Arabidopsis thaliana: one gene and its partners. The protein of the gene in region 1 interacts with the protein of each later gene in a biochemical or structural test. Each region holds a gene or a part of one and is shown in the gene's direction. Other genes may lie near its edges. The genes, in order: TTL3, AT1G74050, AT2G27330 and TSBtype2.

Region 1 (5,416 bases):
GTTATGTTCTTAATTATCCTATTATTGTTTTAAATATTTTTATATAGCGAAATAATTTATTTAAGAAAAAGTCAAGAGAAAATTAATTGACTATATATGGAAAATAATTTGAGGGTGCGAGGCATGACCTAGCTAGAGAAAAATAAAATAAAATGAAGGCATGCATGGTGCTTGGTTCAATGTAATTAGTGGTTCCGTAGGTCTGAACGGTACGGACTGGCCATGATCTACTAGAAACAGTAAATAGTTAATACAAAGTAATTAATTATGAGTTTCAGCAAATTAACTACTCTATATCGAATGAATTAAACAGTAATCCCCAGAAAAGAAAAAAAGAGAACTATGACAGCCTTTTCAAAGGACACCCGAAAACCAAAATGAAGATTTTAAAAATGCCAGCTCTGCAATAGATATTGAACTTTCATTTGTAATTTTCTTTATTTTTGTTGCATTACACACATTTGTTATTTACATTTAAATTGGCTATTGCAATAAAAGATTACTTTATATGCTTATAATAGTACAATATATATGGTGGCTTAAACAAAAGTTTGGCTGGCTTGATAAATACATCTTACATCGAATGACGATTTTACCCTCTATCTTGCTGTCTCTGAGTACGAGGGTTGAAATCCTTACGTGGCATTTTTTCTCATTTTTCTTGGTCAAATAGTTTAACCAAACTCCAAAAGTCTGTGATTTGTTGACATACTTCTAACTAATTTTTTTTTATAATAAAAATCTATTGTATCTGTAGAAATAATCATTAGATTTACTTTCTAGAATATAACTTCTTATTTCTTAGTAATTTGTCCAGATTTTTTTTTACAACTAACTAAACACTAGTTAAAATGTTAATGTCTAAAAAATACCATTACAATTATTCAATTTAATAAAAATTGAGTCGGCCAATTTAATGCGAGACTTCTGTACAACGACCCTAAAAGTGGGTTTGATAAATGAAACATATTGCAACAAAAAAATACTAGTAATAATGATAAAATAGTAACATGTCGTGGCGCATTGAATATCCTACGAAGGTTTAGTGTTTACTTTTAAAAAATCCTAATATGATACTAGTACATATAGCTAGCTTGCCTTGCTTATGCTATTGCATAGTCTGTATTAATAAATGATGTTATACATTTCGATAGAGTAACATTTTGGGAACATGAGTGAACGTGCTTGAATCTTCGTGCCCTTGACGTCAGAAGCTAGTAATTTTAAATACTAATTAACATTCATACAAATTAACAGATACAATGTACTATATCATAATTCGTTTCCGTAACACAACGCAACAATTTGAAAGTAGATGTACTTTAGTACTTAGTTAGTGTGCACCAAAAAAAAAAGATGTAGTTAGTTAGTAAGGGGTTAAATGTTTTAATTTATTAAGAAAACTTAAATTCATTAAATGTTAGAAAAAGTCTAATTAGTTTATATTCGAACACTGTGCTCAAAATTAAAAAGTCAACTATTTTAGACTATAGAGTTTATTAATTAATAATAAATTCGATAAATCACCGTATTATTTTCTTCAACGACAAGTAGCCGTGAAGACACGGGAGCGAAGAGAGATAAACAGAAGATGAAGAAGAAGATCAATGTCATAATCTTCAGGGAGATAAATCCGTAATCTTTATTAATCAAGGTTAATCCTTTTTTTTTTCTTCATCTTAATTCTTTGCGTCTTCCTTTTCTATTTATCACGAGATCTGTCTTTCTTTTTCCTCTTCTTTCTCTCTCTTCTCTCTGAAGACAGTACTTGTTTCTGTCCGGCGTTAAAAGCTTCGGTGGTGGTCTCTTGACTTCTCTGAGAAGAAGAAAAGGAAGCTGAGTCTCATTTTAGATTCAGCTCACGAGGAAGTGACGACGATGTCTCATTCTAGAAGACTTTCGTTGGAACCTGCTATAGATTCAATCACTGGTCGATTTCGTGATTTACAGAGAAATGATGATGACGTCAACAAACCTGATTTTCGAGAACTCGATCTAGGTTCTCCTGTTTCTACCTTAATGCCACGTGGCTCTGCTTCTTCTTCCGCTGCTGCGACTCCTACTAGCAGCTCTGGCTCTTCTGGCTCTGCTTCTGGTAAACCGTCGGTGAGTTCTCAGATGGCTAAACGGTTAGATGATGCTTACAAGAGTCATTCCGGTGAGCTTTCTAGCCCCGGATCCGGAATGCCGACCACGACCCGGATTCTTAAACCGGGTCATAGAAGATCTTCTTCTACTGGCACGCCTTTGATCTTCTCTGGCTCTAGCTTTACTTCAGCAACGAGTCACACCTCGCCACAAGGAGGTGGTAGCGGTGCTACGTCGGCAGTGTCTCCCAATACTGGCGTTTTACCGGCGGGAAATATTTGTCCGTCGGGTCGGATCTTGAAAACTGGAATGGCGTCTCGGACTTCAAGTAGGACTGAGACTCTATGCACAGGAACTGGTAATTACGGACATGGAAACGTTGTACGCAGCGGCGGAGGAGGAGGAACCAGCGGAAAGGCGGTGAGAGTGGCGGAGAATGGCGAAAACCCGGAGGAGTTGAAGAGAATGGGGAATGATATGTATAGGAGAGGGAGTTTCTCTGAAGCTCTGTCGCTTTATGACAGAGCAATTTTGATTTCACCGGGAAATGCAGCTTACAGAAGCAACCGTGCCGCGGCTTTAACGGCATTGAGGCGGTTAGGAGAAGCCGTTAAAGAATGTCTTGAAGCTGTTAGGATTGATCCTTCTTACTCCAGAGCTCACCAAAGACTTGCTTCTCTCTATCTCAGGTAATCTTGAGAGGCTTTTTGTTTTGTTGCTGTGTTTTTAGTTTAAAGATTGAGAATTTGAAATGATGGAGTGAATTGTTGCTTTAGATTGGGTGAAGCTGAGAATGCAAGACGTCACATTTGTTTTTCTGGTCAATGTCCGGATCAAGCTGATCTCCAACGGCTACAGACGCTGGAGAAGCATCTCCGACGATGCTGGGAGGCTCGAAAGATTGGAGATTGGAAAACCGCGATTAAGGAAACCGATGCAGCCATTGCAAACGGCGCTGATTCGTCTCCTCAGGTGATTACATATCATTGTCGTATGATATGCTTGTAAAGATTTTTGACTAACAGTGAGGTTTTTTCTATTGGTTTGGACAGCTTGTAGCTTGTAAAGCAGAAGCCTTTTTGCGTCTTAAGCAAATAGAGGATTCGGATTTTTGTGTATCTTGCATTCCAAGATTGGATCATCATTACCATTCTCAACCGCAGGTGAAACTCTTTGGTATGGTAGTTGAAGCTTATGTGCTCTGTATCCAAGCTCAAGTTGATATGGCATTAGGAAGGTGAGCTTTCGAAACTCAGAAATGTTGTGATTCTTTGGATTTTTGTTTCTCCACCGGTGAGTGAGTAGATATGATAGGTTTGTTGCAGATTTGAGAATGCGGTTGTCAAGGCAGAGAGAGCTGCGATGCTTGATCAAACCAATCCTGAGGTTGTATCAGTTTTAAACAATGTGAAGATGGTTGTGCGGGCACGTACTCGTGGTAATGAGCTATTTAGTTCGGGGAGATTCTCGGAAGCGTGTGTAGCTTATGGAGACGGTCTCAAGCAAGATGACTCCAATTCGGTTTTGTACTGCAACAGAGCAGCGTGTTGGTATAAGCTCGGTTTGTGGGAGAAATCTGTTGAAGATTGTAACCATGCGCTCAAAAGCCAGCCTAGTTACATCAAGGCACTTCTACGTAGGGCTGCTTCATATGGAAAGGTGAGATTAGAACTTACTATAATCAGTTATTGACAGAATTTTGCAGTGTATTCGAATGACAATGTGTGTTGAAATATATAGCTTGGTAGGTGGGAGGATGCGGTTAAAGATTATGAGTTCTTGAGAAGAGAACTTCCAGGAGACAGTGAAGTTGCAGAGTCTCTAGAGAGAGCGAAAACAGTGCTAATGAACAGAAGCCAAGAATCTAAAAGCCTAGGTTTCAATAATGAAGTTGAAGCGGTTTCGACTTTGGATAAGTTCAAGAAATCCGTAGCACTTCCCGGTAAGTCTAATGAGAAACTTCAATTTGTCTCAAAAGGTTGAGATTTTGCGTGTCTTGCTCAAGTTGGAAACATTTCTCTTCAGGTGTCTCTGTATTTCATTTCAAATCATCATCAAACCGACAATGCGAAGAAATTTCTCCATTCATCAACACTTTATGTCTTCGGTATCCATTAGTACATTTCTTTATGGTAAGAACAAGAACACATTCCAAATATGCTTTTTATATCACATTTTCTTCTAAACTTATATGTATAACCTATGTTTCTCAATGTGTTAACTGAGAAAATGAAATGTTATTAGGTGGATGTGGAGGAGAGCATGGCGTTGGCGAAAGCAGAGAGTATCAGGAAAGTTCCGACATTTAAGATGTACAAGAATGGAGATAAAGTGAAGGAGATGGTTTGTCCTAGCCATCAGTTTCTAGAGGACTCTATAAAGCATTTCCTCTTATGATTGAAAAAGCCCTATCATCATTATCTGCTTCCCTATGATTCGATCCGAATAGCCTATTTAAAAGACTCAGAAAGCATTCTATGTGAAAGATGGGAAAGAGCTCTTCTGTCAAATTCAACAAACTATTCATTCTTTCTTCTTATTCGATTCTAATTCTTCTTTATTTATTTTTTGGAGTTTGGCTCTGCTTGCTTTGGCATATTACGTATGGGTAAATGTTCGCAATGATTCAAGAAATGCAAGCTTCATTATCTATTTACGCTTGGCTTGTGTATGCTAGATTATTCACCACACCAGTGAAAGAAACTGAACAGAGTTTACTGTATTTGGTGTTGTTGATTCAATCAGTGACAGAATATGAATCAGAGAGTACCGAATCCAATCAGCTTCTATCTCAGCAATTCAGAAATGAAGGAATATAAGTTTCAAGATTGGATCCATAAGGATAGATAGTAAGACGACAGTAGTGAATTACAAATAAGAGTGTCCTGAGACAGGCATGCAATACATTCAAACCAGAGAGACATTTAGGGCTAAACCAGAGTACAAGTAACATAGACAATCATGATATAGGGAACAGAGAAACTCTACTTTTCACTATTATTCACCGCACATTCAGTTCTTGAAACATATTGTCCAGGTGCACACATATCATATCACTGCAACATAAGCAAAGAAATCTTGAATCAAAATCGGCTTATTTTAATTTGATTTACCCCGAGTAAAGGAATCTCTTATACTTACCTCTGCATCGTCTCCACCAGCACCAGGTTTGGCAGAACCATTCGTCTTATGAGCATCGTCTCCTGCACACAAATGCAAAATTAACAGTTGAAGTCCAAGTGAAAATATATATTGATAAAAACTGGCAATCGTCTTCCAGATGCTATTTCAACTATCTATCATCAAGAATGTCCATGGATATGCTTAA
Region 2 (4,385 bases), on another chromosome or scaffold:
TAGCTTAGTGTTTTGAAATCGTTAATTAGTCATTGTGGTCTGTTCTATTTGGTTTGTGAATTTATCTTGATTTCTGTGGAAAGTTTGCCTCTTTTGCTTGTATTTTGTGTTACATTGTTCGGAATTTGTTATGTTGTAATCCGATATTCATATTTCTCTATTGCAGAGCTAGCATCACTCCAGGGACAGTGCTTATCATCCTTGCTGGTAGATTTAAGGGCAAGAGAGTTGTCTTCCTTAAGCAGCTTGCCTCCGGTTTGCTTCTTGTGACTGGTGAGTTTTATGCTAATCTACTTTCTTTATTTGCCACATTCTTTATTCGAAATGCAGAACGCCCATTCACTAAACTTGCTTTCTGTATTCTGTATAAAGTTGACATTCCTGTTTTGTTATTGACCTTAGGACCATTCAAGATCAATGGTGTTCCTCTGAGACGTGTTAACCAGGCCTATGTCATTGGTACTTCCACAAAGGTTGACATTTCTGGAGTTACCCTCGACAAATTCGATGATAAGTACTTCGGCAAGGTTGCTGAGAAGAAAAAGAAGAAGACTGAAGGAGAGTTCTTCGAGGCTGAGAAAGAGGTATCCCAAACATTCTTCTTGTCTTTCTCTAAGAGTCATTTGGTTCTCATTTTGTAATAGACGATTAAAGTTCTCTCCTTTATACACTACCCAAATTAAAAGCTATGCGTGACCTCCATATACTTTTTTTCCTTCCGCAGGAGAAGAAAGAGATTCCACAGGGAAAGAAAGATGACCAGAAAGCCGTGGACGCAGCTTTGATCAAAGCTATTGAAGCAGTTCCAGAGTTGAAGACTTACCTCGGAGCAAGGTTTTCATTGAAACAAGGAATGAAGCCCCATGAGCTTGTTTTCTAGATTTCATTACTTTTTTTCTGAGGTTTCTAGTGTATCTGTCTCCTGAAGTTTTACACTCCAACTGGTTGGTTCTGTTCTCGTCCACTGACCAGAGACATAAAATCTTGGCTGCTGCTATCTGGATTTCTGTCTTATATGGATAATTTATCAATCCTGTTTTTGAAGGAGAACTTTTCACAAGATTCTAGTAATGCTTAAGTCATGACGAAGTGATGAAATTGAGAATTGAAAATAACATTGCAATAATGATATAGTTTAGCTTACAATCTACTTCGAATATTGAAACTCTTATTACTAGTCTCTGTCACATGCACCGAGATCAAGCTGGAGGTGCTTCTAGACGAATTTGATCATTATCTTTAGGTGTTTCTTTGCTAGCACAATCAGCAACTTTAGCTCCGGCCTCAACATCTCCGGCCAAACACCGTCTCCATTTTCGTCTCAGCCAACCTAAAAGCCCACCACTCTTTATCATCTCCAACGGATTGACTTCAGCCACTAGACCAGTTCTCTGGCGGCTCCGTGCGCAGAATCGACCCAAGAAGCAGGAGAGAACAGCAAGAATGATGAGAACAGATATGACAGCGAAGAAGGGTCCAATGGAGCTGGAAGAGTAATGGTTTGGAGCGTTTGGTGCTGCGATTAGATTGGCATTGGTAGCCATAGGTGTGATCTCATTGCCTCCTAATTGTTGTTGAGGTTGTTGTTGGATAGGAAACAATGACGAGCTGCTACTACTACTAGCCATAGCCATTGAATCTAATGAAATTTTGGTTTTCGGTGATCAAGATTCAATATTTGTTGATTGAGTAACGGGGTCATTAGTATATATATACATAGGCATGTGCACATTGATCTTTTGAAGAGCTTTTAAGCCGACCAATGTTTGTTGAAGAAGGACATGTAAAGGTGAATAAAGCGGAGAAATCCTCATCAGCTTCATCAAAAGCGTCTCAAACTAATTATAAATGATATATGTGATCCATTGCACTCTTACAGGTGAAGGAATCGTCTTGCTCTGATTTTGGCGTTGGTCAAATTGTGTGGGGATTATTAGCCTGAGTTTTTAGATAAACTACTCTCTAACTCTGATTTTTTTATCATCCTGTCAAAATAGTTTTAGGTGAAAAGATTTAATACTACAAAGTTGTAAGAAAAAACAAATCCTATTATGCATGTTACGGTCCACATTAAAAGGCCGATATAATTGTAAAGCCCATGAGCCCAAGAAAGCCCTAAAATTTAATTAGGGTTTCAGTGTCTTCAAATTCACCTATCCTCAGCCTCAACTCTCTCCTCTATCCACTCTCAGCCGGAAAATTTTTCCTTGATTCATTACGACAGAGAGAACCATGCCGGCGAAACAGAGGACCCCGAAGGTCAACAGAAACCCTGATCTGATCAGGGGTGTTGGTAAATACTCGAGATCCCAGATGTACCATAAGAGAGGTTTGTGGGCTATCAAGGCCAAAAATGGAGGCGTTTTCCCACGTCACGACGCTAAATCTAAGGTTGATGCTCCGGTGGAGAAGCCACCGAAGTTCTATCCAGCTGAAGATGTTAAGAAACCTCTCCCCAACAGGCGCACGGCAAAACCAACCAAGCTCAGGTACTTAGTCTGACACTGGTATCGATGCAATTATCTTCCATGTGTTTGGTTGATTTCTTTGGCTCGTTTGCTAAGTGGGTTTGTATAAGATTTGAATATCTGCTGGAAAAGTGTCCAAATTTTGCATTGTGTAAATCATTTGTCTCTAGGATATTTGAAGAATAGTTGAAATGCATTGGTTTGTGAAGATTGTTAGTGGAGTTAAACTTGAATTTCAAAAGGTTCATAATTTCTGTGAATACATCTAGTTTTCTTATACATTACTGTTATTAGTATGATTAAGCTTGTCTCAGGTTGATAGTAAAAAGAAAAAAAGCGAATTTGATTTTCATTTGTATACCAAATTTAATGTCTATGCTCTGTAACGTCTTCAATAGATCTTATATATGTTTCCAACATGATCCGATCTTCTTATATCTGTATTGCAGAGCTAGCATTACTCCAGGTACAGTGTTGATTATCCTTGCTGGTAGGTTCAAGGGAAAGAGAGTTGTCTTCCTTAAGCAGCTTGCCTCTGGTTTGCTTCTTGTGACTGGTGAGTTATTCTCTATCTGTTCTCATGAACTTGTCTCCTATAAATCATTTGAAGCGAAGCTCATTCACTGATTTTTACCATCTGAATTGTTCATCCTTTTTTTAACAATTCTTTAGGACCATTCAAGATCAATGGTGTTCCTTTGAGACGTGTTAACCAGGCCTATGTGATTGGCACTTCCACAAAGGTTGACATTTCTGGAGTCACCCTCGATAAATTCGATGATAAGTACTTTGGCAAGGTTGCTGAGAAGAAAAAGAAGAAGACAGAAGGAGAGTTCTTTGAGGCTGAGAAAGAGGTATAACCTTATATCGCAAAACATGGAAAGGACGCAATTCATCTTGTGTTTCTCTCCTTTAAATTTGGTTATCACAGTTTGTTCCGGAAGAATAGACATTGAAAATATCTTTATATCACTTGTTATTTTCCAAACCAAAACATATGCTTGACATAACATCTCTCTTTTATATTTCACAGGAGAAGAAGGAGATCCCACAGGTGAAGAAAGATGACCAGAAAGCTGTGGATGCAGCTTTGATCAAAGCCATTGAAGCAGTTCCAGAGTTGAAGACTTACCTTGGCGCAAGGTTTTCATTGAAACAAGGAATGAAGCCCCATGAGCTTGTTTTCTAGATTTCATTACTTTTTTTCTGAGGTCTCTAGAGTATCTGTCTCCTGAAGTGTTTTACCTTCTAAATGGTTGTTTTGTTCTTGTTCACTGAACACATACAATTTTTGGCTTATACATTCTCTGTTCTTACGTATGGACAAACTATCGATCCTGTTTTTGATTGTGAGCTTTGTAGCGTGGTTCGTGATAGAAATGGGATAATTATTGTCAAAAAAAAAGGGGATCGTTATGCTATATAACTCGGTATGAAATTGAACATAAATATAGAATAAACATCAAAATGGTATGTATGTGCAAGCTACATGAACATTGGCGTTATCTCATTCAAAAATCATTCACCGTTTTCTATAGGCATTTCTACAAATCTGACACTTTTTGATGTAATTTGAAGTAAGTATTCTAGGATTAAATCATAGATCAACTATAAGAACCTCGATAATCTTCGTTTTCGTGGATAGTCTCCTTGAGAGACCAAGCTATAGCAAGACTGATGCAGGAAAGGACTAGAGCAGGGTAAGCAAACATCGAGAGATATTTCCATTGATGAACAATGGCTTTTAAGATGCTTAGTTGGCAGCCTCTGCAATCTAAACAATACTCATAAGAACACTCTTCTGGAACTTGGTTCCGTTCATACTGATGTTTCCAACTCCACTCGCCTGGCTTGTCGAACATCGTTATGGTCCCACATCCCACCGGTTGTGCACAGCAATACTTCTGCACATATATC
Region 3 (4,224 bases), 6.0 Mb from region 1:
GATTTTACAATCAATAGGAGCTTGCAGATACTCTTAAGTTCCGAGAAAGGAAAGAAAGACTTACAAGTTCCCAAGCTTTGACATTTCTTCCTGAATTAGTCTGCAAGAACTTTCTGCATGTACAACAAAGTGATGAGGAATGGTTTTGTGGTTTTATGACTTAAAGGATTGAAAGAAGTCAGACGTACAATACTCCACGATGCACATCTCGGTGATTGCAATGACCCCAAACACCATAGTTATCGAATGTTATTATCTGAAAAAACCACCACATAGAGAATTAGATGCAGAAATATATCTAAGTAATATCCTGAAGTGTCTTTAAGTCATACTGTGTGGATATAGTGATTAGTGACTTCTTCTTCGATGATCTCTGTTAGCAAATCGTGGCTCCATAATTGCCCAAAACCATCCTGCGAGAGAGTAAATAGTAATATACTCGGTATGAGATGGTGAATGTAAAGATACACATGTGTTGGGGAGATATAATAGAACTACTAAACCTGCAAATTTGGATGGTCCAGAATCTTTAACTGTTGAAGCGGAACCTGCATCATGTTCAATATATATTAGCAAAAACATGTTCTTCATTACAATGACAAGAATCATTATCACAGATTCCTTCTTTATCAAATGGGATTACCTTGAGCACCGCACATGCCCGATGCAGCTCTTGGTCCCTAATGCTTCCCATACCATCAGCGTTACCTGAAACAAAACAAATTCATCTTTACTATGGAAAATGAACCTAATGGTTTAACTTAAGTAGATATCAATCTCTTCTCTTCAATGAAACTAGAAATTTCTCAGTCCTTTACCAATTCCACAACTTTGAAAAGGAAAGCAAAACAGCAACCTAGAAAGGTATATTATTACCAGTGGAGAAGCATAAGATGTGAAGATTGCAGGCAGTGGAAGTGAAGTAGTTTATTGTTGGAGAAAAGAACCTGTCAAGCATGTCCATGACTCAGGAAAACATAAGAAGAAGAACAATAGTACTAATCTTAACATTTCATTAAATCTCAAAATCTTACATTGACTCATCATCAGGATGTGCGATAACAAACATCACATTTTTCTTCCCTGAAATCAAATACAATAATAAGATATCAAACTCTGAAAAAAAAGGATAAGCATTTAAAAGATGAAGTTATTAATCATCTTCGAAATACTTGCCATCATCAAGAATAGTGGCTCTGGAGATAGATGTAGCTCGGAAGAAAATTTTGAAGAAAGAAGCCACCCATATAACAACAATCAGAGATAGAAAAACAACAACCATCTGACACCATAAATGATATTGAATCAATACAAAATTGTCAGCATAAATGGTCAGTACCCAAAAAGAAAGTCAGATCAAGTCCAACAATTATAAGTCTTAAAGTGTTTCTTGATGGATCAACTTCATCCAAATTAACAAAATGGTAAAATCATCAATGTGGATTTGCAGAACATAGCTTCTATATAAGTCGAACTTAACTCATTTCAGGTGACCAGATCAATTAAAAAATGAAGAGAGCAAACAAATAAACAAAAAGATTCAAAATTTGTAAGCATTCAAGCTCACATTCGGAAGAAACCCTTGTTTGCTCAAATTCCAGATTCATGAGTCCACATTTCAGATAAACATAACAGAAACATTTTCACATTCGGAAGGATCAAGCTAAGTAAAATCAGAGAGTGGAACAGCTAAACCAAAGAAGAGAATCTATCGACACTGAGAACTGAGAAAGTAAGAGCTTGATCGATGGCAAGAATGAGGAAGGACGTGATGGCTGTAGAAGCCCATGAAAACTGAAACAAAATTGCAGTAATTTAGCTCAAATTCTCGAGAAAAAGCATTCAATTTGACATTTTTAAACTAAAAATCAATCAAAAGAAATGAAACAAAATTTTAATAACCAAAATTGACAGAGTGTGGGAACACTCACCGGAGATTTCAGCAGCTGAGAATCCGGAAGAATGTAGCAGAATCGACGATTAGGGTTTTGCTCTCAGGGAGCGATGATGTTTTGTTTTTTTACAGTGTGGTTAGAATTGCTGACGTGGACTTAAATTTGGTTTATTATATGGTAAATGGAACGGAAGAACAACAGCGAGAATAAAGTTCATAGAGTGTGATTTCGCCGGCGGTGAGATCGCGGCAACAGCCACGGCTTCAAAAGAAATGCTCACCCAGTTCCTTTATCGCTCCTTCACTCCTCTCCTCTTCTCCAGATCTTTCTCCTCTACGCTTTTCGTTAAAGGTCTCTCTCTCTCTCTCTCTCTCCCTCTTCCTCTGTTATTATCTGCGACTTTTCTGATTCTTAATCCTTCTTTCACGAATCTAACTACCCATTTCCTGATTTCTAATTCCTTGAATCGGGTATGTCCTCAATTGGTTTTTGAGGTCTTAAAGGTTGTGACTTTGACTGTGCCAATTTGGTTAGAGATAGCTATTGTGTATGTATGCTGTGATTGTACCAATTCTTCTTATTTTGATAGAAACAACAATAGGGTATGTGTGAATTTACTGCTTAACTACCACATAGTGTCTTACCAATCTAAAAGTTTCGAACTTTAGATGTAAAAGCTTTGTGTCTTTGTTTGATCTGTGTGTGACTTGTATTACTGTCACTGAACTGAAGATTTTTGCTGCAGGCATATCTTTCTCAAGCACTGAAGAAACATTAACCCAAGCATTTTCTCAATATGGTCAAGTTCTCAAAGGTCAGTCTCTAATCCCAACAGCAATTTAGTTGTACACCTTCACTTACATATCTCTTTATCTTTATCAGAGTTAGTTTGAGATAGTTAAGAGTCTATACACTTGTACATAAGGTTTTCAGTATTTTCATTCATTCTGATTGTCTTCTTCAACTTTTGGTTGCTTTAGTGGATGTTATAATGGACAAAATCAGATGCAGACCAAAAGGGTTTGCTTATGTCACATTCTCATCTAAAGAAGAAGCCGAGAAAGCTTTATTAGAACTCAACGCCCAGGTATAAACTCCCTTCTCCATTTGAGAATTCATTGCTTGAAATTCTATATCTCAGATAAGTCTAAAGACTCCATTCGAATCGATTTTCGTATAAACCCTTTCACAGTATTGATCTTTCAAACTTATAGCTTTCTCCTGTTATGAAGAAAAAGATTTGATAATTTACTTGTGAATCCCCTGGTGGAGCATTAGAACAAGATATGTTAGATAATGGAACTATTGTCTTGAGATAATCTAAAATCGTCAACTCTTGGAACTGGTTATGTTACTTAGTCTTCATGAAGTCTTGTTATATGGATCACAGTTGGTTGACGGGCGGGTCGTGATCCTTGACACAACAAAAGCTGCAAAACACAATCCACCAGACACCAAGCCAAATCATGCAGGTGGTGATAGCTGATACTTCTCTTTTGTCAACTTGTTAGGTTAAATTATGAGACTCAGAAAACCTTCAAACCAGTTTCGAGGTTATTTGGATTTGGGGAGTTAGTTGTATCGAACACCTAGAGTTAGGAGCTTTGAGTCATCATAGACCAGTTTTGCGTTTTGCGTTTGATCATGTATACAAGTCACGTGACTTGAGAGTCTTTGAGTCTTTTGGATGATTATGCCTCTTCTTCTTTGCCTTCACATACTAACCCATTGTTCTCTTGATCTATTCACTAGTTTCTTCATGTCTTTGGTATCTACTTCTAACCAAAAGATCGCTTAAGAACTATCTAAAGCTTATTTACTTATGTGGAATTCGCCGTTTAGGGCATTAGTTGTGTTCATAGCATGACTCTAATTTTCTATATACATCTATGGAAGAACCACATTTTATTTCTGAAGATTTCATAAAATTGGAATGATAAAACAAAGATGTTTGTAAGAAAACGAAATTAGCCTAAGATTTGTATTGGAAGAGGTAGTTTATATATCTTTGTCCACCTGAATGCCTTATAAATATTTAAAATACTTGTCATACACAACAACATGGATATAGTTTATTTCTCTTGCAAATTTGATATAGCTTTGGTTGATACATATTTGATTTATTGATCATCAAGTACCACATTGTCCACCTGGTCCTCCATAAGAGAAGGATACTCTATTATGCTGGTTATAACCCCAATACGTTAGTCTATAAATTGGTAAGAATCTGCATAACGTCTTGTTCTCTGTTTTTCAAAATCAATGGTTTCATAGTTCGAATTCTTAACTTTGACCTTTGAAAAATGTGAACTTTTATAAAAATCGTGAG
Region 4 (4,817 bases), on another chromosome or scaffold:
GAGGAAGTGGTTCAGAAACCGACTATTTTGATTGGAAACTCTGTTGGAAGCCTTGCTTGTGTCATCGCTGCCTCAGGTCTAAACCCTTTTCACTATTTGAGTTTGTTTCTACGTCTAATGATATAAACTTCGATTACTTGAGCTAAAGATGTCACAAGTATATGAATCTTAGGTACTAAGTTTCTCATATATTTGGAAAAAAAAACAGAATCACGAGGAGATCTGGTCAAAGGTCTTGTTCTATTGAATTGTGCTGGTGGTATGAACAACAAAGCTGTCTTTGATGACTGGAGAATCAAGCTACTGATGCCTTTACTCTTACTTATCGACTTCTTACTCAAGCAAAGAGGAATTGCTTCTGCACTCTTCAACCGTGTTAAAGACAGGTATGTCCTTATTCACTTTTTCCCTGACTTTGAAACGATTTATTCGAGAGCTCTAACGCATTGACGAATATACGAAACGCAGGGAAAATCTGAAGAACATCTTGACAAATGTTTACGGGAACAAGGACAATGTAGATGACACCCTTGTAGAGGTATTGTCATTATTACTCACTCTCAATGACAAAGAACAATGAAAGTTTTATTCACTTTTTATGTGAAAATGTTATGTTAGATCATTGCTGGACCAGCAAATACCGAAGGTGCACTAGATGCTTTTGTTTCAATCTTAACGGGTCCTCCTGGACCAAATCCGATTAAGCTGATACCGGAAATAACCAAACCGGTTCTTGTCTTATGGGGAGATCAAGATGGACTAACCCCTCTTGATGGTCCAGTAGGTAAGTACTTCACTTCCCTTCCGGATCAGTTACCTAACTTCAACCTCTATGTTCTACAAGGCGTTGGACATTGCCCGCAAGATGATCGTCCGGATCTTGTCCATGAGCGTCTCCTTCCATGGCTGGCTCAACTTTCTTCCACCTAGTTTCGATTTGTTTAGCCGTGTACACTTGTTTATAAATGTAAAACAAATCTATCTAATTGGAAAAAGACAGATTCAAAATGATATTTCTTGACACATTTTGTGGTGTCTGAATGTAAGTTGTAAAGAAGTCATGGTGGTAGTAACTTGGTAAAGGAGTTTGTTTTTGGAATAAACGCAAATTACATGGTTTGTAACTGAATACCAAATGTCAAAGCCAAAAATATACTAAACTAAAAGATAGGCTTATTTAGTCAAAGCTCAATGCTATTGACTTGGTAGTCATTTTTGGTAAAAGAATCGTTACAAATGTAGAAAGTGACTAGTTAGGTTGATGAATGATTGATGGTCCTATACAATTGATAATTTGCTACTTTTGTTGGTAGGCAAGTAAAAGACACTTAATGAGCTGCTAGAAGCTATTTTTGGCCACAAAATCTACAAATTTGTTTGGTTGTTGAATCTTTAAAAGGACATTCATGCTGCAATATCATCAACATAGTGAAGATGATAATTTTCAAACTTGAAATTCAAAAGTGTATATATATGAATATGATGATTGAATATTGATTATCAGTGTGAATGAAAAACCATTGTTATAAATTTTCAGTTTTCATCAAAAAAATGATGCCAAAGAAGAAGAGTAAACAAAACAAGACAAAAAGAGTTAAATGGAGTGGTCCAATAAAAATAAAAATAAAGAAGACAAAACAAATTTGTATTAAAATGGTTAGATGTCGTTGGGTGCCGGGAAGTCTTCGTTGGAGTCTATTATTTAAATGCTTCACCGATCTCTCATTACTCTCTAGTCAATATCCCAAAATCCCTAATTCATATCTTTGAAACTGATAAAGATAACAAAGAAATGGCCTCTCAATTGCTTTTACCTCCAAACCAATTCACTAAATCAGTCTCACCTCAAGTTTTCATTACTGGTAAGTTCACTGTTGATCTCTTGATTCTTTTGTCAAAACTTTATTCTTGATTTGATTGCTTCAAAGTTGAATATTTGATGTCTTGTGTGTTTTATTTTGATTTGATTAGGTGATTGTCAAGGATTTAGTGACTTAACTCTGAAAAGAAAATCAAACCAAGCTACAAGAGTTTCAAATGGATCTAGCTTAAGAGTAAAAGCAGCTTTGAGATCTACTCACAACAAATCAGTGGTTGAGATTCCAAAACAATGGTATAATCTTGTTGCTGATCTTTCAGTCAAGCCTCCTCCACCGTTGCATCCAAAGACTTTCGAACCGATAAAACCCGAAGATTTGGCTCATCTTTTCCCCAATGAGTTGATTAAACAAGAAGCTACACAAGAGAGGTTTATTGATATCCCTGAGGAAGTTCTTGAAATCTATAAGCTTTGGCGTCCAACTCCTCTAATCAGGTTCTTGATTTTTTTATTTAGTTTTCTTATTTTGATTGTTTTTTTGTGTGTTTTCTTTTATATTTATAATTTAGCCATAGATGATTTAAAGATAATAAAAAGGATTTGTTTCTGTTTTTCATAATCAAGATTTTGAATATTAGCTGAAGTGTCATCAGTCTTAGTATTAGTTTAGCCAAATTTCATATCAGATTATTTATTTTGCTTTGATTATAGAGCAAAGAGATTAGAGAAGCTTCTTCAAACACCGGCAAGGATTTACTTCAAGTATGAAGGTGGTAGCCCAGCTGGTTCACACAAACCAAACACAGCGGTTCCACAAGCTTATTACAATGCGAAAGAAGGCGTCAAGAACGTTGTGACGGAAACCGGTGCTGGTCAATGGGGAAGTTCTTTAGCCTTTGCTTCTAGTCTATTTGGTCTCGACTGCGAAGTAAGCATAAATATTAGAATTTTGCTTTGGTATCTTGAAAAATGTAATGTTTTGATTATAAGTGACATTGTTTCTTTTATACTTTTCAAAACATTATAGGTATGGCAAGTAGCCAACTCTTACCATACAAAGCCATATCGCCGGTTAATGATGCAAACTTGGGGTGCAAAGGTTCATCCGTCGCCATCGGATCTCACTGAGGCGGGTAGAAGAATCCTCGAATCCGATCCATCAAGTCCGGGAAGTTTAGGCATTGCGATATCAGAAGCGGTTGAAGTTGCAGCGAGAAACGAGGATACAAAATACTGCCTAGGGAGTGTATTGAACCATGTGTTGTTACACCAAACAATTATTGGAGAAGAATGCATTCAACAAATGGAGAATTTTGGTGAAACACCTGACCTGATCATAGGGTGTACTGGTGGAGGATCAAATTTTGCTGGTTTGAGTTTTCCTTTTATCCGGGAGAAACTCAAAGGCAAAATCAACCCTGTTATAAGAGCGGTTGAGCCATCTGCTTGTCCTTCCTTGACCAAAGGGGTTTATGCTTATGATTTTGGCGATACGGCTGGATTGACTCCTTTGATGAAGATGCATACTTTGGGACATGACTTCATTCCTGATCCTATCCATGCCGGTAATAAAATAAGCTTTAAACTAACTATCTTAAACAAAACGCTTCTTGATTCTCAATATTCTGTTTTCTTGATTTCTTGGATCTTTGGTTCTTGATTCTTGAAACCTGAATCTTTTATTTTTGGCTTAATTTTGTTGTATTATACGTCTATGGTTGTTGGCAGGTGGATTAAGGTACCATGGGATGGCACCATTGATCTCACATGTTTATGAACAAGGATTCATGGAAGCAATTTCAATTCCTCAAATTGAGTGTTTCCAAGGTGGTTCTTCGATCGCTGAAATTCCTCAAATCTCATTTAACTTTTGCATTTGATTGTAATACAAACTTTTCATGTTTAATTGTCTTTCAGGTGCTATTCAGTTTGCAAGAACAGAAGGGATCATACCCGCACCAGAACCGACCCACGCCATTGCTGCAACCATAAGAGAGGCTCTCCGATGTAAAGAGACGGGAGAAGCAAAAGTGATACTAATGGCGATGTGTGGACATGGCCATTTCGACCTTACTTCTTACGACAAGTATTTAAAAGGCGAGTTGGTGGATTTATCATTCAGCGAAGAGAAGATACGAGAGTCTTTGTCCAAGGTTCCTCATGTTGTTTAAGCTCGAATGGCCCCATAACCACGGGAAACCAATGTCCCATGTTCCAAACTAGACGTGAGACAGAAGTTAGGTTTAATCTTGGCTTTTGAAATGAAGAGTGAGAGAGAGGACAACTTCAAAACATGAACAAAATTATCTCTTGAAATAAGAATAAAAAAGGCATTTACAGAAACACCACATTTTGGGGTTAGGTCTCTATTTTTCACTCTATATATGGAGAAATCTTTGCAAGATATGAAGCTCGACGATAAGTCGATGATGAACCTTTAATTCTTCCAAAACCATCAACACTTGCTGAAGAAGCATCAGAACTTAAGTTTTAGAAAACAAAATTATATTACGTGATAGTACTGTCGAAAGACATACAACATAGGAAGACGCAACACGTAGAAGTGAGTTGAAGATGCGATGTCATTAAAACATGACTTATAACATGAGATTATCGGAAGACACACACGCCACACATTAAAATGAGAAAACACATGTAGTAGAGTAAAAAAAAGGGTACGAGATCCTTAAGAAACAAATTTAAAACCATTGGGTAGAACATGGACCCCAAGTTGATGAAGCATGTTACTGGATTTTCCATGGAACCCAACGATCTGGTGATTATCCTTGTGAAGCACGAAGCTTGGTAATGTACCGAATCCAAAGTACGGAGAGTCTTTTTTGTTGGTCTTGAACCTAAGCATGGTTATACCTCCGATTTTATCATCATAAGTACCCTCCACTGATGTGATACGTTCAAGAGGATCCAACTCGAACTGCAAAACAAGAAAAAGAAATACATTGAGAATGATAATAAGTTGACCAAGTACTATATATTA

What was found.
Region 2: the proteins of TTL3 (region 1) and AT1G74050 form a complex in vitro, tested with the Arabidopsis thaliana proteins (one study listed by BioGRID).
Region 3: the proteins of TTL3 (region 1) and AT2G27330 form a complex in vitro, tested with the Arabidopsis thaliana proteins (one study listed by BioGRID).
Region 4: the proteins of TTL3 (region 1) and TSBtype2 form a complex in vitro, tested with the Arabidopsis thaliana proteins (one study listed by BioGRID).

What each region holds. Positions count from the first base shown.
Region 1 is NC_003071.7:17,726,977-17,732,392, forward strand, and holds TTL3 (tetratricopetide-repeat thioredoxin-like 3), read left to right. Parts: upstream 1-1,502; 5' UTR 1,503-1,878; coding exon 1,879-2,777; intron 2,778-2,864; coding exon 2,865-3,060; intron 3,061-3,140; coding exon 3,141-3,325; intron 3,326-3,413; coding exon 3,414-3,747; intron 3,748-3,828; coding exon 3,829-4,030; intron 4,031-4,113; coding exon 4,114-4,220; intron 4,221-4,332; coding exon 4,333-4,485; 3' UTR 4,486-4,860; downstream 4,861-5,416. Other genes in the region: GRF9 (general regulatory factor 9), read right to left, coding at 5,188-5,291. UniProt on the Arabidopsis thaliana protein: Involved in osmotic and salt stress tolerance. May play a role in the control of meristematic cell size during osmotic stress. May function as an adapter protein for BRL2 and may be required for signaling affecting leaf vascular tissue pattern formation.
Region 2 is NC_003070.9:27,846,528-27,850,912, reverse strand, and holds AT1G74050 (Ribosomal protein L6 family protein), read left to right. Parts: upstream 1-1,904; 5' UTR 1,905-2,232; coding exon 2,233-2,489; intron 2,490-2,917; coding exon 2,918-3,024; intron 3,025-3,140; coding exon 3,141-3,322; intron 3,323-3,501; coding exon 3,502-3,657; 3' UTR 3,658-3,875; downstream 3,876-4,385. Other genes in the region: AT1G74060 (Ribosomal protein L6 family protein), read left to right, coding at 167-273, 403-584, 725-880; AT1G74055 (uncharacterized protein), read right to left, coding at 1,200-1,634; TET17 (tetraspanin-17 protein), read right to left, coding at 4,073-4,372.
Region 3 is NC_003071.7:11,694,507-11,698,730, reverse strand, and holds AT2G27330 (RNA-binding (RRM/RBD/RNP motifs) family protein), read left to right. Parts: upstream 1-1,931; 5' UTR 1,932-2,167; coding exon 2,168-2,246; intron 2,247-2,640; coding exon 2,641-2,709; intron 2,710-2,875; coding exon 2,876-2,982; intron 2,983-3,285; coding exon 3,286-3,381; 3' UTR 3,382-3,699; downstream 3,700-4,224. Other genes in the region: AT2G27340 (N-acetylglucosaminylphosphatidylinositol de-N-acetylase family protein), read right to left, coding at 65-113, 189-256, 333-413, 504-548, 644-708, 877-947, 1,035-1,083, 1,177-1,282; AT2G27320 (NEP-interacting protein, putative (DUF239)), read right to left, coding at 4,100-4,224.
Region 4 is NC_003076.8:15,422,305-15,427,121, forward strand, and holds TSBtype2 (tryptophan synthase beta type 2), read left to right. Parts: upstream 1-1,675; 5' UTR 1,676-1,792; coding exon 1,793-1,862; intron 1,863-1,971; coding exon 1,972-2,314; intron 2,315-2,530; coding exon 2,531-2,747; intron 2,748-2,846; coding exon 2,847-3,384; intron 3,385-3,547; coding exon 3,548-3,646; intron 3,647-3,736; coding exon 3,737-3,990; 3' UTR 3,991-4,272; downstream 4,273-4,817. Other genes in the region: AT5G38520 (alpha/beta-Hydrolases superfamily protein), read left to right, coding at 1-76, 173-386, 469-538, 619-930.